2 linked regions of the Drosophila melanogaster genome follow. The protein of the gene in region 1 interacts with the protein of each later gene in a pairwise test. Each region holds a gene or a part of one and is shown on either strand. Other genes may lie near its edges.

The links.
Region 2: the proteins of hid (region 1) and Diap2 interact in binary tests that used the Drosophila melanogaster proteins (3 or more experiments, as listed by UniProt).

The regions. Positions count from the first base shown.
Region 1 is NT_037436.4:18,182,534-18,187,753, forward strand, and holds the start of hid (head involution defective), read right to left. Parts: upstream 3,109-5,220; 5' UTR 2,590-3,108; coding exon 2,259-2,589; intron 1-2,258.
Region 2 is NT_033778.4:15,931,525-15,936,715, reverse strand, and holds Diap2 (Death-associated inhibitor of apoptosis 2), read left to right. Parts: upstream 1-1,890; 5' UTR 1,891-1,918; intron 1,919-1,998; exon of another isoform or gene 1,999-2,135; 5' UTR 2,136-2,145; coding exon 2,146-2,517; intron 2,518-2,896; coding exon 2,897-3,932; intron 3,933-3,995; coding exon 3,996-4,084; 3' UTR 4,085-4,546; downstream 4,547-5,191. Other genes in the region: Mlf (Myelodysplasia/myeloid leukemia factor), read left to right, coding at 136-256; bug (bunker gear), read right to left, coding at 876-1,735, 1,793-1,820.

The sequences.
Region 1 (5,220 bases):
GGAACCAGGAAAAAGGGTTCTCGCTTCTTGGTTAACTACAGTTTATCCCTTTCTTGTTTCAAGGGCTTCAAGCATTGTTCACTAGTTTCGGGATGTGTCACGATTAGATAAATTATCCTCTTGAGTGGCTAACTAAAGTACATGATCGGCGTGCGTTGAGTAGGGGCTTAGATGTGGTTCGGGAAAATGAGATAAGGGAAAATTACTTTTAAATCGAAACTTTCACGATAACGTCAAGTCTTTTTAGCTCGTTTTTCAAAATAAATGCCCCGCAATCGAATTTTCACTGGGCATCAGCTCTCGTAAGCGAAAAAAAAGTATCTCTGTATAAATTATGATATTATAGACGAAAACAGATTGAAGCGCCCAAAAGTGACTCACTGTAATTTCGAGAAGGGAACGCTTTTTTTTCGTCTGACCAACTGTTGCTGACAGCAAAAAAGGTAACAAACCAAATAAAACAGCAAAATAATATAAAGTAACAATTCGGTTGTTCGGTGGAACCAAAGAGCGCAGCTGGCAATCATCGACAGCGACAAAATCTATTATGCAAAGGCAACACAAAATTAAGGAACGCGAATGAAAAACCGCAAAGCAAACATGAAAAGCGCGCGCGCAAAAAAAAGAAAAACAATAAAAACTGACCGCACTCAACGTGGCCGAGCACAAAAGCTACTTAAACAACCGTTAAGTCAAACACTTTGCAAATGGCCCACACCCTCAACCCGTTTGGCCCCCTTTTGGAAAATCGGAAAACTAGTTGCCTAAGGTCAAATGGCGTTTAATAATTTGGGTTAGTCGAGTGGTAAGATATACGAGCAGTACGCTCGAGATAGATAGATATCTTGCAGATACCCAGACACACAGGCACACCACACTCACTCAAAAGTCTCAAAAGTAAGACATTCGACTCGAGTTTGGCGCGTGCCAATTAAACGTGCTTAGCTCTGTGCTCCCAGCTCTGTTTTATTGCCGCTGGGTTATGTTTCCCTGGTTTCAGCCAGGTCTTTATTTTCTTGCTGGTCCAGCACACGCCCAATTTTTTGACCATATTTACGAACAATATCGCATGACAGCCAACTCGGCAGTTGTCTTGCATGTGTCTCGGCGTTTCTTTCTTAAAGCCATAGCACACTAAAAGTTTTATCAGCCTAGTTTAGATAATCATGACCGAAGGAAATTGATCTTAATGTGATTTATCGAGCTAGTTATCACCATTTCTACTTTATTTTCATTTATTTATAACATAAGTAGATTTTTGTCTCAATACAAAATTTTTTAATTTGTAAGATTCCCACTTTGGGAATTTGATCCAGTAATTCCCCACATGATTTTGAGTTTTTGCAGTTTTGTGACTTCGTTTATTAAGTTTGCTCTCTCCTCCAATCGAAACTTCTCAATTACTTCTCAATTTTCCCCTTTTTGAACTTGTTCGATTAATTTTTATTGAATTACCGTTTTTTCGGCTTCCTTTCGAATGTGGCCGAGAAATTTGCCTTCCGCTCTGCCTTTTACACTTTTTTTTTTGCTGATAAGCTGACAAAGTGCTGAATTGACCATATATAAAATAAAAAAAAAACTGGGTAAAAGTAAACAAAAACAACCTGGATGCAGTTGACGCAGTTACTCGAAACTGGATGAATCAACAACCTTGAAAAGTGAAACTTGCACAAGGGGAACTGAAGCAGTTAACAAATAACGTCACAACTTGGCTAATTGCTGACCCATTTTAAAATGAGGGAAACCCTCCGGCTGTCCAGAAACTTTCTTAAACTAAACTAAATGATATTAAAAGCGGTAATCAAAAATATGAAACCTTTAAAGTCGCTTGTATAGAAAAAAATTGTTCGCCATTTTTTATTGATCAAATCTATTAGTTTGAAAATATCTTCAAACATTTAAAATGCTGTTTTTTCGAAAGAAATAAATTTACTATTCTTTAAGCAATTTCAAGTTAATAACATTTTTTGTTTACTTTTACAAGGAGATCCTATGAAAATCCTTCTTGTTAATAGCAAAACAAGTGGGCTTAAATAAAGTGTTGGTTATAAGCATTTTAGAAAATATATTACCAACATGCGTAAGCAGTTATTCTGTGTGGGAACTTCTTAAACATTTCGCAATTAATAACCGTATATGAATCGAAACTTATTTTTGTATCTGCAAATGTATTTGAGGTAAACTAAATGGATATCCTGATTAACCCACACAATTTCAAAGTTCTTAAGAGTGGAGAATTGAGATCTTTGTAGACTTACCACTCTGCTGGCTCTGGTACATCCTGACCCACTCGTAGAGGGCGTATAGCACTTGGTCGGTGGGCAGTGGAGACTGCATCGGCGTCTGCGTGGCCGACGAGGTGGTGGTGTTCGGCGATTGCGAGGCGGCGCTGCTGGCGCCGTCCGACGATGCGGAGGACGAAGATGAGGCCGAGGAGGCGGAGGCCGAGGACACGCCCGAGGAGGAGACGGACGAGGATGCGCTCGAGGGAAGTGGGTGGTTGTGGGGGGAGGAGTTGCCCGAGGCTCCCGATGAACTCGACGCTACGTCATCGGCGCCGCCCTCGGGCAAATAAAAGGGCACGGCCATTGTGTGGGTGTGTGTGTGTGCTGGCTTCCTTTTTGTCCTTATCCGCTTCCTTCCTTCCTGCACTTTGTTGGCACTTTGCTCTTCTTGTGATTGTTCTTCGCTGCTTTGTTTTGCTTTTTATTTTGTGTACAACTTTTGGTTAGAGTTCACTTTAATTGATTTTGTATTTCTTGTGCAAGATTTTGAATATTAGAAACTTTTTCATTTTTCGTGCAGTTTTTTCTTATGATTTGTTTTTTATCTTTCCTGATTTGTCAAACAACACTCAAGTCAAGTTTTTGCTCGGTTAGTTAGTTTTTCGGATTCTTCTGCGTTTTTCATCAACCCTTTTCGTGTTTAGAACTGATTTAAAAACACAAAACTGTTCACGATGGATTTCGTTTTTTATTTTTTGTTATTTTTTTATTCTTTGCTTTTGCTGTTGTCAATTATGGAAGAGCACTTAAAACGTGTCGCAGACTCAAAGAAAGAGGGCAGGAAACACGTCTTACTGGCTCCGCGGCTAAAAATGAACTGTTCGCACTGGGGCCTCAAACTACGGCAACAGAGCCTCTACCGCGACGTCGGCAGAGCGGCAGCGTAGGCGCGCAGCCAGTGCAATCGCAATCTCTCTCGCTCCCTCTCCTGCACATGCACGTGCATGAAGGAGGCACACTTGAGAGAAAAAAAATATTTTAAAAAATCCCGCTCTTTACCTACCCTGTAATAGCTGAGTGAGGAAGAGTATACTCGGACCATGAATTGCGTCTACATAAATGCATCAAGGAGCATAGTTAACATATCTAGATTTTAAGGTTGTAAAAATTTAATTGATTGGCTTTCGCATACTGAAAAAACTGAAATATTGTACCAGCGCACTAATTGCTGAAGTAACACTATTTTATAACTCATATTTACTTACAACATAAAGTACATATTTAGATGCACAAACAATGTGAAGGGTATGTCTCAGTTGGTACTCTTACAAAACGTTCTTTCTCGTTTCAACTAAGAGTGTGTGGGCAGGCTGTGTACGCGTGTATGTGTGGGTACACAAAGATCTTGTCGAGCAGGTAAATTCAGAAGAAGAAGAAAACTCATCAGAAGTAGCGAAGAGGCAGTATATCCGACTGCGCTGCCTAGCGAACGCTAAAGCAAAACAAAAACTGCAATTGTACAACACTCTTTGCTTGTGGTTTTCGTTATTGCACTTTGCTCTTGCTTTCGGTTTTGATTTGTATTTGTTTAAACAAGAGAGCGGAGGGAGAGCAAGCGTTCTTAAGAGGCCAAAAAACCGGAGTAGAAAGAGTATGATAAATGGGAGTATATTCTATGAGCGGATTAAATGAGTTAAAAAGGTAGTAGAAAAAAGGGAGTTTTTAGACAAAGCTTGATTACTTTCTCACATTTTAAAATATTTTGAGAAGGGAAGTTCACAATTTTATAATGTTCAATACTTTTTTTTTGAATATAAATTTGAAAAATAGCAACATGATTAACAAAGGATCCAACTTGCTTAGCTCAGGTTTTACTGGCTAAATGAATGTACATATGTATGTATGTATGTACATTTATGCAGAGAATGATTAGCTAGTTTATTGTATTTAATAAAATAAATTAAATTGTTTTATATTTTGGGTATTCAAGCAATGTAATAAAGACTATTTAGTTGGCGTTCATTCACATTAAACATTTCAAACGTGTTTTTGAATATACGATAAGGAGTTTAGCTAATTACATTTCCGATTTGGATGTTGGCTATATTTAATCAATTTCACCATATATCAAAAATTGACTGTGCAACATGAAAAACCTGTTTTCGCTCTTACTCTTGTCTTCCTCTGCATCTTCCCCTCTCCCTCCCACACATTATACAAACAGGCTTTTTCCTCTCCTTTTCTCTCTCTCTCTCTCTCTCTCTATTTCCTTCTCTGTCATTCCCAACTTTGCGCGCGAAAACGCTTGAAAAAAATTACGAAATACGCGTAAAACAATTCTTGGCTTTTAATTTAAATTTTACGGCAAATAATTCTCGTAACTGGCATTACTTTAGATCCATTTATTAGCTTTGTATCTATGTAGCTCTAGTAGCTCTCTTAATAATGTGGTATTATAAAATGTTCGCAATATAATTTAAAACAAATTAGATTCTAGACCTAAAACTAGTTTAATAGCCCATATTTCAAAATAAAAGAGGCCCGTCGAAAATTCTGAAGAAAATGCACTTGCATTTAATCTAGTTTTATTATACTTGTTCATATCCCTTAAATGATTACCTTAAATTTTTAAAATCAAAAATGATTTTAGCCCTACCTGACACCTTTTTTGTTTTCACCCAAAAACTCTCTTTATTTAATAAACTAAGATTGAGGTCAAAAATATGCCGATAAAGTGCGATAACACGTAAGCTAAACGACTCGACGACAAATGTATGTACGTAAGTATGTATGGATGAACATACATGAATATGTACATTATGCAAGGATTTCCCAAGATGACGAAATTCAAGCACACTCTTGCACAAAACGACATAAAAAACATGAACATGAGCGAGCATGCAACAAGCGAAGAAGTCCAAAGCGAAAAGAACAAAAGTACGTGAAGGCGGAGAAAACGGGGATTAATCGGAAAAAAGGGGCTCGATTTTTGTGA
Region 2 (5,191 bases), on another chromosome or scaffold:
TAATAAATTTTCACTTGCGTTCGAATTGGCCTGTGTACGAATGATTATTATGTATACCTTTTGTTTTGTATTGTGCCTTATTCTAATTAATCGTTTCTGTTAATTAATGAACATTTGTTTCTGCTCCGCCAGCAGCATACATCCACATCCCTATGCCGCCAATCCGAGGCGCCAACAACGTGCCGTAAAACATTTTCACACGGAGGACGAAGCGGCCAGCTCCTACAAGGCGGTCAAGCGCGGCAAGAAGAAGTAGTAGAAACGTGATCATCTGTATGCCAACATCTTCCGCATCGCACACTCAAAAACACTAGGAAGCAAAGCGTTGGGTTCTGTTCCATAGCAGGAAAACCAATTCAAATATTTTTTAACAAACACAATTCTTTACCAGTTCTGTCTTATCCTGCGTGAGTCGACCAGAATGCAACACTAAAAAATGTACAACTTCAAGATGCTATTGATGTGCACGCAGGATACAGAACAACTTGCTTAAATTTACTTAAAACAAATGTGACTATTCAACGCCGAAATCATTACAACACACACTCTCAGACCTAATCGAAAAATTCAATGAAAGTAATGGAATATATATGAAATCGTAATTATAAGTTTGAATTATTTGATTAATTCTCAAGTTTTTAGATTTTGTTAGCCACTAAGCTTTAAATTATGGATGCCAGTTAGCGTGCAAATGAACACAATTGATTTGAAGGCTCCGAACGATAGAAAACAACAATTACCAATTCCCCAAATACATGTAATTCGTAAGGCCTAAGTAAATGTTAACGTGAATTTAATTAAATGGTAATTACATTATAATAGTAAATCCAGTGTTCTACTTATGCGACTTATAGAGAATTAAACGTATTAACTAACTAGTCCACCATCTCCATTTGCGTCTCCTCGGATTCCCGCCAAATGCGCTGCACCATCTCTACCAGCTGCTTCCAGAGCGCCGTCTTACGCAGGAAGTTGGCAAGGCAGACGAGAATAAAGGCCCAAGCCAGGCCCAAATAGTAATCCGTCTGCACAATGGGTTTATTAGACAGCGGCTCCATCTCTGCGCGAGTGAGGATGATCGGATCAATGGCCTGCGGATTCACAGTCTTCATATTGGTGTGACTCATTATGAAACTGGCAAAGCTGCTCTTTGTGTCCTTCCACCCGGGCTCGAATTTGATTAGCGGCCTGCCCTGGTGGAATAGCATCAGTGTGGGCAGCGAAACGATGCCGAATTCTGCATTGAAACGACCAAACTCATAGGCATCCACATAGGCGATGGGTAGCGTGGGAAAGTAATGGGGCAGCACGTTGACCATCGAAGCCACACGAGCGCACTCCAAGCTGGATGCGGTGCAGAAATGGACAAGTACACAGTTGCCCGGCTCGTGGCGCTTGGTGGCATTGCCCATGGGCTTAAGCAGATTCACTATATCCTTGGCACTGCGCATTATCAGCAGTTCCGGCTCGGATGCTGTCTCATTCTCGATATCCCGCTGCAGGCACTTCATCATAATAGGTGGCTTTCGAACCGGAGGCAGCTGGTTTAGGTGCATGATGTGCTCGTCATCCGGGGCACATGTGTGTCGCTCCTTCAGCAAGGTTTCGAAGCTATAATGGCACTGGCCCCGCGAAACTCCCAGGGAATACACCGTCAAATTTGAGAAGAGCCCGAAATACTGGAGGGCACTTAGTAATCCGGAGAGTTCCGCCTGGCCCTGCGCGGCGCAGAGCACTGTGGAAGTGGTATAATGTTACTGATTGAAGAACTCGATATAAATAAATAACGTACAAAATACAAACAAGAGATTTTGGTTCATTATATCGTTGGTTGGACAGCTGTTGAAATAGTTGGCTGTTATATGGCACTCGTGAAATACCTGGAAACTTCTTAGGTTTGGATATACCGAATAGCAAGGTAAACTGCTTGACCTTGTTTTTGTAAGCAGTGCCCATTAAGTTGGTATTTCATCGATGAAACATTGACGATGTATCGAAAAACATCGATGCTTATTTTTACATCGCTACAATAAGTTTATATTTTTACCTTACCTTATTTTCATTTTCGTCTGCGCTCGCTGGTGATTCCCTTGGTGGCATTACATCATTGGTGGATCCATTCGGATCCAATTTAGAAGCGCCACGATGACGGAGCTGGGCATGGAGCTGGAGAGCGTTCGCCTGGCGACATTTGGGGAATGGCCCCTGAATGCCCCAGTTTCCGCGGAGGATCTGGTCGCCAATGGTTTCTTTGCCACGGGAAACTGGCTGGAGGCCGAGTGCCATTTCTGCCACGTGCGCATCGACCGCTGGGAATACGGCGATCAAGTGGCGGAGCGCCATCGCCGCTCCTCGCCCATCTGCTCCATGGTTCTGGCTCCCAATCACTGCGGCAATGTTCCCAGGAGCCAGGAGAGCGACAACGAGGGAAACAGCGTAGTGGACAGCCCGGAGTCCTGCTCTTGTCCCGATCTCTTGTTGGAGGCCAATCGCTTGGTAACTTTCAAGGACTGGCCGGTGAGTACCCTGAGCTGGTGTCGCTCGCTTCTGGTGATTCACCATAGCGGGTCATTGTAATCACTATAGTTTCAGTTTCAAGCTCACTATAAGTGCATATGTAAGTATGATTGCGTAGTTAAAAAGTAGCGTAAATGAGGCCAGGAAAATCCCGGTCGAAAGTATCAATGATATTTTTGTATACAAACAAGAAATGTCTTGTTAGCTGCCTCAATTCAGCTGAATGTTGATTGATAATCCTACGAAATTAAGCTTTAATTAAGATATACAAAAATCATTATGAACTTCAAATGAAGTTATTGTATACTGTATAATTTCAAATATTTTTAATGACTGAATAAGATAGTTTAACTTTAGCCCAAAACGTCTTCCTTTGTAGAATCCCAACATCACGCCGCAGGCTCTGGCAAAGGCAGGTTTCTACTACCTGAACCGTCTGGATCACGTGAAGTGTGTTTGGTGCAACGGAGTGATTGCCAAGTGGGAGAAGAACGACAATGCCTTTGAAGAGCACAAGCGCTTTTTTCCCCAATGTCCTCGTGTGCAAATGGGCCCCCTTATAGAGTTTGCCACCGGGAAGAACCTGGATGAGCTGGGCATCCAGCCCACCACTCTGCCACTGCGTCCCAAGTACGCCTGCGTGGACGCCAGATTGAGAACCTTCACCGATTGGCCCATTTCCAATATTCAGCCCGCTTCGGCTTTGGCGCAGGCTGGCCTATATTATCAGAAAATAGGCGACCAGGTGCGCTGTTTCCACTGCAACATTGGATTGCGCTCCTGGCAGAAGGAGGACGAGCCGTGGTTCGAACACGCCAAGTGGTCGCCAAAGTGTCAGTTCGTTTTGCTGGCCAAGGGTCCAGCCTATGTAAGCGAAGTGCTCGCGACAACAGCTGCCAACGCCAGTTCCCAGCCAGCAACTGCTCCGGCTCCAACGCTCCAAGCAGACGTACTGATGGATGAAGCTCCGGCCAAGGAGGCCCTAGCCTTGGGTATCGATGGAGGAGTTGTGCGCAATGCCATCCAGCGCAAGCTCTTGAGTTCCGGCTGCGCTTTCTCTACGTTGGACGAACTATTGCATGACATCTTTGACGATGCGGGCGCAGGAGCTGCACTGGAGGTGCGCGAGCCGCCGGAGCCAAGTGCTCCTTTTATTGAACCATGTCAGGCCACCACCAGCAAGGCAGCATCTGTGCCAATACCGGTGGCCGATTCCATCCCAGCCAAACCACAGGCAGCTGAAGCAGTGGCGAATATATCGAAAATCACAGACGAAATACAAAAGATGTCGGTGGCCACGCCGAACGGAAACCTATCGCTGGAGGAGGAAAACCGCCAGCTAAAGGATGCACGCTTATGCAAGGTATGCTTGGACGAGGAGGTTGGCGTAGTGTTCCTGCCCTGTGGCCACTTGGGTAAGTCGCTGAACTATACCTTGATTGCCTTGAGCTGTAGCTAACTTCCTGTTAACCCGACAGCCACCTGCAATCAGTGCGCCCCCAGTGTAGCCAATTGTCCCATGTGCCGCGCAGACATCAAGGGATTCGTGCGCACGTTCCTTTCGTGAAGTGCATATCGACATCATTTAGAGTTCACCAGCCTAGTTAGCAGTTAAGCAAATCGATTGATTGCACCCACACAAACTACTACAGCGAAGTTCAAATTATCCGGTGATTAGCTAATATAATCGTCTACTAATCGTCTACTAAGTACTTGGCCAACTGCAGCTATTCGTTTTTACATTAGCTACGGTTGTAAGTTGTCGTTACTAACTATCGCATTGTGTCCGAGCGCATCCCTTTTGAACCATACATTATGCACGCTGAAATGACCTTATATAGATGAGCAGCTCTAATTCGCGCTGAAAAGGGTATCAATGCACCGGCACGACCGCAGATCACATGGATTTCTTGTTATAGTACTCTTATTAACACATGTATGTATTTTTGTTGATCATGTTTATAGGCCGCTGATAGTATGGTTTACACACAACTATATGCATTCTCCAATAAATGTATATGTAAATGTTAAAAAATTTGTCTTTTCAATTGCAAAAATTCTTTAAAATAATTTATTTATTTTGCTAAGTTTTAAATCCCAACGGTCTTCAAGTGATGTGCCCCGAGAGATTAGCCTATTAGCTTGCAACAGTCTGATTCCACTGCTCACAACTATCTCGATATCATCGCCATGCACGGTTCGATACTATCGATAGTAGCATCGATGTTTTGACGGCTCTACTCAAAAGTACCAAAATATTGGTATCCAAGCAATCGTTTTCAGCTCTCCGCGTGAAGTCGTGTGCGCTGCTCGTAAGGGAGCTCCATTGAGTTCTGGTCGCGAAAAACTAACAAGCTCCAACGCCAAGAAGTGCAGAAGATAGTGAACAAAATTTAGAAGAACCGAACCGAAGCTACGGGGAATTTTATGTGTGAAATCGAAATTACCAAACGCGCGCTCGTGTGAGTATATTCTGCGAGTATTTCAAAGGAAGAGTTCAAGTGTGTGTGTGTGTGTCTGGTGTTGCTGCTGCATTTTACGGAGTGTGGGCGCTTTATGCTCTTTATAGTGTGGTGTGGCAAGCAGTGGCCATATCCCCCCGCTACACCAGAAAACCCTTACAGTCCGCTACCTTTCCATTTTGGAATCTTCTTCGAAAAACACTTTTTCGTAC